Canis lupus familiaris: one gene and its partner. The protein of the gene in region 2 binds, or shares a complex with, the protein of the main gene of each other region. Links are inferred from orthologs where the notes say so. Each region holds a gene or a part of one and is shown on either strand. Other genes may lie near its edges. The genes, in order: H2AJ and SCML2.

Region 1 (2,839 bases), on a different chromosome or scaffold from region 2:
AAAGAAGTATAGTATGATGGGGACAAGACCATCATGAGAAAATCGTTTTTAAAAAGCTCCTAAGCATAAGTAGCTCATGACTAAAGACACTGCACTGTTATGCAACATGGGTGTTGGGGGAACAAATTTACTCATGACTCATGCTTCTGTATTATACATATCACTGGATGTTCCCTTCATTTTAAAGAAATGTGCACATAAACGTGTATATTAAAATAACCTGCTATCCAAAACATGAAAACACGACAGCTACCAGGCTGAGAAAAAAAAATCTGTTGACACTGTCTACTTTTCCAAGACGGAAAGTTACTCCACCTTTTGAAAAGTACGGTCAGGGAGCCAACTTCCTGCTTGACACCAGCTAACCCCCCACTGCGTCTCCGGAACTGGGTCCTCCGGAGCAGCCCAGACAGGACAGGAGAGTGAAGGCCCTGGGAATGAGACGTACAAACAACCCCCCTGCCGCCCCCGCACGCGCACCCCACTCTGCCCCTCCTTTGCTTTAAGGCGAGAGGGGATCCCAGCTCTGCCCACCTCCAGCCCGTGCGCCCCCCGCGGTCCCGCTCATCCGCCCACAAAACACCTCGGGGGTGCGGACCCAAGTAGTCCACAAGCGGCTGAAACCGACCCCCCAGTACCTGCTCCAGAGGTCTCCTGGTCGCCCCCCGGGTCATCCGGAGGGTCCCCGACACTACATAGCTCTCTCGACCACACGATTTTCACCGACTTTATTGGCCTCGGACTCCGCGGGCCCCCTGCCACCCACCTCCCCACTAGATCGCGCCAGCCTTCCAGGACATCGAGTATATTGGGGGGGAAAAAAAAAAAAAAAAGAATACTGCGGGGTGGCCATGAAAAGAGCCCTTGCTGGGGAAGCCAGCTCCCCTGTGGCGGCGTCAGGGTCACTTGCTCTTCGCCTTTTGACTCTCGGTCTTCTTGGGCAGCAGCACGGCCTGGATGTTGGGCAGGACGCCGCCCTGCGCGATGGTGACTTTCCCCAGCAGCTTGTTGAGCTCCTCGTCGTTGCGGATGGCGAGTTGCAGGTGGCGCGGGATGATCCTGGTCTTCTTGTTGTCACGAGCGGCATTGCCGGCCAACTCCAGGATCTCAGCCGTCAGGTACTCCAGCACCGCCGCCAGGTACACGGGCGCCCCGGCGCCCACTCGCTCCGCGTAGTTACCTTTGCGCAGCAGCCTGTGCACTCGGCCCACCGGGAACTGCAGGCCCGCGCGGGAGGACCGGGACTTGGCCTTTGCCCGCACTTTGCCGCCCTGCTTTCCGCGACCAGACATGGTTACCTCCTCGCCTACAACTCCTGCGAGGGCGGGAGACACAGCCGCGGGGTCTGAGCGAGTGGCTCACTGCAACGTACCCCGCCGGAACTGCCTCTGCCACTTTGCTGACACTGGGCAGCGCCTTCCCATTGGACGCAGCGACATCTGGGGCTCTGGGACCAATGACAAGCAGGCTCCGCTCCCAACCAGCGCTCCGGGCAGAGGCACCTCCTTCTCCAGCTCTGTCCAGTCAAAGGAGCAAACTCCCAGCCCTCATTTACAAAGCCTCTCCTATGAATGCCCGGGACCCCAGCGCCCCGCATCCGGAGCCTCCGTTGACTTCACCGGCTCCTGAGGTTTCAGGGTCCAAGTTCGCTCCTAGGAAAAGGACGTCTTAAGAATTAAGGAACCACGGTTAAGAAACTGCAAACTCAAATAAATAAATAAATAAATAAATAAATAAATAAATAAATCAATCAATCAATCAATCAAACTTAAAATTAAAAAAAAAAAAAAAAGAAAGAAACTGCAAACTCCGGAAGAGCTACCCCGTACAAGTATAAAGCACTCAAGCGACCAAAGCCTCAAGCACCTGAGGCCGCAAGTTGAGCCCCACTTCCTTCCCCACGGTGCCCTGCCCGCGAGGCGGATTTCCTCGCACCGTACAGTACAGCAGCATCCTAGCAGCTAGTTAACCTGACTCCAGACACCGCGCTTGGGGGGGTGGGGGTGGGGGGCAACAGTGCTCCTCTGCCTGCCATTTCTCTAAACCAGCGCCTGTCTCCTGCAAGCCCAGATGCTCCCTTTGCCCAGCAGTGTGGAGAGCTGGCTCCGAAAGGTGCCTGGGACTGGCCACCTGAACTTTCTCAACCAGACCAAATGACACGGGGCTCCCCGCGTGCCCTGCCGCTCCCAGGTTGCCAGTATTCGCTTCTGCGGAACTAGAGCGCTGCACTAGACGCGAATGCTTTCTTCACAGACTGCAGAACAAGCTCGCGTAGCCAGAACTCAACGTCTCTTGTGTTCGACGTTGTGAGCCTGAAAAGTCTCTGGATGCCAGGGGGAGGATGCAGGATCAGTCTCTGAGACACAAAGTCTGGGCCTTGGCTTCCTCCTTATTGATCACTGCGGGGCTGACCATGTTCTCCACGGAGACTCGGAGCCCCGAGGTAAATAAGGTCGCCTAAGACATTGTGGTGGCACTCGGTGGTCCCTTTTTCCAGCTCTCTACTGCCCCTGCGGCGCTCAGAGGTCATGAAAAAGACAAAAGAATAGTAGCAACCGTCCTTACCTAAATTGCAGAGCCAGAGCATTTGGAACAAAGTAAGGTTGTTTTTGTTTTGTTTGTTTTGTTTTTTAAGATTCATTTATTTATTCAAGAGAGAGACACAGAGAGACAGGCAGAGACATAGGCAGAGGGAGAAGCAGGGTCCCCTGCAGGGAGCCAGATACGGTACTGGATCCCAGTACCCCAGGATCTCGACCTAAGCCAAAGGCAGATACTCAGCCACTGAGCTGCCCAGGTTTAAAAGTAAAATTAAAAAAAAAAAAAAAAAAAGGTAAAA
Region 2 (2,868 bases):
ATCAAACTATCTGATTTTAAATACTGTGTGTTGATTAAAATACTACATATCTATGACAACGGGTAGAAAACTATGAATCGTAGAAATCAATTTCAGACGGTCATTAACTTTCTTAAAAAGGCTGGGAATATGAAGATGTCAGCATCAATGCAAACTGTAAATGTGTTATACAATGTTGTCTTTATGTTGAAAACTAATCAATTAGTTGTCTAAAGCTAAGCTAATTAAATGATAAAACTAATTACTGATTTTCTTAGAATACCGAAAAGGACGGAAGATATTTGGTTACTAATTTGTTAGAAAAGACTATAAACATTACTTAATAGACACAAGGCATCCTCCTAAAATTTTTTATTTCCTTAATTAACCAATGTACGTCAGAGAAGCATATTATTTGGTATTCGTGAGCTCCTATTTAAAATAAAACCACATTTAATCTTACACAGTTGCTGGATTCATAGGGCATCATTAACAAGGAGGACACCCTGTCACAGCTTGTGGTTACCACCTCCTACTCACGGTCCTGGGGCCGAGCAGGGAGCAGGTGGGGAGGAGGATCCTTGTGGGAGAAGACATCTGAGAGTGGCCATGCTGAATCATCTTCTTTTGAGAGCTTGAAGACTTGTAGTATTTTAGGTACTTGGGTACCCATTTAAAGCACAGATCCATGGGGCAGCCCGGTGGCTCAGCAGTTTAGTGCCACCTTCAGCCCAGGGTGTGATCCTGGAGTCCCGGGATCAAGTCCCACTGTCAGGCTCCCAGCATGGAGCCTGCTTCTCCCTCTGCCTGTGTCTCTGCCTCTCTCTCTCTGTGTCTTTCATGAATAAATAAATAAAATCTTTTAAAAAATAAAATAAAGCACAGATCCAGCCTCTATCGTTTAAGAATCTAACTTTGGGCCAAGTAACCTTTCTCATATATGGAAAAAAAAATCAGTTGATAGGATTCCCCCACCATCCACACTAATCAGCATCCATCCAACTGAAGGGCCTGCACAGAGGTCATTGAAAGGCATTACGGCAGGAAAACCGGATCAAAAGATACATTACATGTTGCCTGAAGAGGTCGGCGAGGGGGCCTGATATCTGAGGATCTTTATGTTTCATAAACTGTATCACTTCATCCACAGACCAGGTTGAAGGGTCCTTAGAGAAGCCTTGTTTCAGGACACTGGGGTCGGGTACAGCTATATAACTTGGAGCTTCAATGGGGGGGAAAAAAGACAAATCATACTTGACCTGATCATTATCCTGAAAGAAGAGATGTTAGGTAGGGAGAAATGGTCTCATTCCTGGAACCTTCTATCAAGCACCCCAGCAAGGACCCAGGACTCCAAGCGCAGAATCAAGTCAAAGGCTAGATTAGAATGACCTGAGGATGGCTACCCAAGAGCACCCCATCTGACCTCCCCCAAACAACAAAAGCAGCTTCAGAATTTACCTTAAAGCTTCAAAAATCGTAAAACAGACTGATCAATCTGAGGCCTTGCTGGCCACAGGCAAAGACAGCAAAGGATCTGTTGTGTGGGTTAAATTAGGTTAATGTAAGCTAACCTATTACTCTTTAAGTGTTTCAATGAATTTCAATCTCTCTCCCCATGGTCTTTGTAGATTAGGTTTCTTTTACTACCTAAATATAATGGAAAGTCTCCAGATTTTGTTTTTATAATTGCTTAAATTTATTCACTTTAATCAGTGAGTTTCAATAACCCCATTATCTTTGAGAACCAAATTAGTTTTTACTGAAACTCTCCCATGTATTCAATGTGGCTATTTATAGCATCACTTTACCATTTAAATTCCTGTCTCTTAAGGCTTAAATGCTTATCTGAATTTTGAAGAAAACAGGATTTTCTGCTTGGCTAGGTCAGAAGTAAAGTTAACATTATACTGAATGCCTCTCTCAAGTTTAATTGCATAGTAATAGATATTCTGATTGAATGTTTATAGGTCAAAGAAAGAAATAATTGAGACATAGAATAAATTATGCACTCCTACCCCCAAAAAGTTTTAGCTGTGCTGTTTACCAAGTTGTGCTGTAATTTGTGTCCAGACAAATACTCATTTTACACAACCAGAGCACTTGACTCTTTACTTAGTGTCAGAAGTGAGTTTTGTCATTTGCTAGGAAGATCTGTTTCCTTAAACAAGGACCATCAACACAAATTTGGTCTTTTTTTGGTGTGAATTAACCAAAGATACACCTTTTCTTTCCTATCACCTGGGCTCCAGCCATTTTAGGGGTATTTTGAGTATTTACCCAGATAAAGGGCAAAGAAAAAAAGGTAAACGAACTCACAATGGTAAGTTTTCCTGTGTGTAGCTCAAAAGTGTATTTATTTTCTCTTTCAATATACAACTTGGATGTAAACTAAAAGCTCTTTACTGGGATCCCTGGGTGGCGCAGCGGTTTGGCGCCTGCCCTTGGCCCAGGGCGCAATCCTGGAGACCCGGGATCGAATCCCACATCGGGCTCCCGGTGCATGGAGCCTGCTTCTCCCTCTGCCTGTGTCTCTGCCTCTCTCTCTCTCTCTCTGTGACTATCATAAATAAATAAAAGTTAAAAAAAAAAAAAAAGCTCTTTACTAAAATGTATCTTCCCTTTCACAGCCAGAGATAAAAATGCTGATCACATCTACCAGGAAATGCTACTGCACTGTTTCAACCCAAATGAAAATCATGATGGTATAGACCATGCCATGCCTAAGGCATTTTAACATTTTAGACAGAAAAGTCTTCTCCTTTAGTTCAAGAAAGACTTAAGATTAAGAAACTATTGACAAAACTAATCAAGTTAATCATACCTCTAAATAACTTTTTTGTGGGATTTCTGGTTTATGTCATCAGAATCCAGTATGGTTGTAGACAG

The links.
Region 1: the proteins of SCML2 (region 2) and H2AJ are in contact, whole or in part, in a crystal structure (PDB 4EDU), measured with the Homo sapiens proteins. The link is inferred for Canis lupus familiaris from reciprocal best matches to the Homo sapiens genes SCML2 and H2AJ. Residues at the interface, in NP_006080.1 of Homo sapiens: Asp182, Asn185, Tyr187, Leu188, Cys190, Phe206, Trp209, Phe213, Pro239, Pro240, Gly241; in NP_808760.1 of Homo sapiens: Leu35, Arg36, Lys37, Gly38.

What each region holds. Positions count from the first base shown.
Region 1 is NC_049248.1:14,343,509-14,346,347, reverse strand, and holds H2AJ (histone H2A.J), read right to left. Parts: upstream 1,420-2,839; 5' UTR 1,293-1,419; coding exon 903-1,292; 3' UTR 712-902; downstream 1-711. UniProt on the Homo sapiens protein: Core component of nucleosome. Nucleosomes wrap and compact DNA into chromatin, limiting DNA accessibility to the cellular machineries which require DNA as a template.
Region 2 is NC_049260.1:14,423,004-14,425,871, forward strand, and holds part of SCML2 (sex comb on midleg-like protein 2), read right to left. Parts: intron 1,202-2,868; coding exon 1,050-1,201; intron 1-1,049. UniProt on the Homo sapiens protein: Putative Polycomb group (PcG) protein. PcG proteins act by forming multiprotein complexes, which are required to maintain the transcriptionally repressive state of homeotic genes throughout development.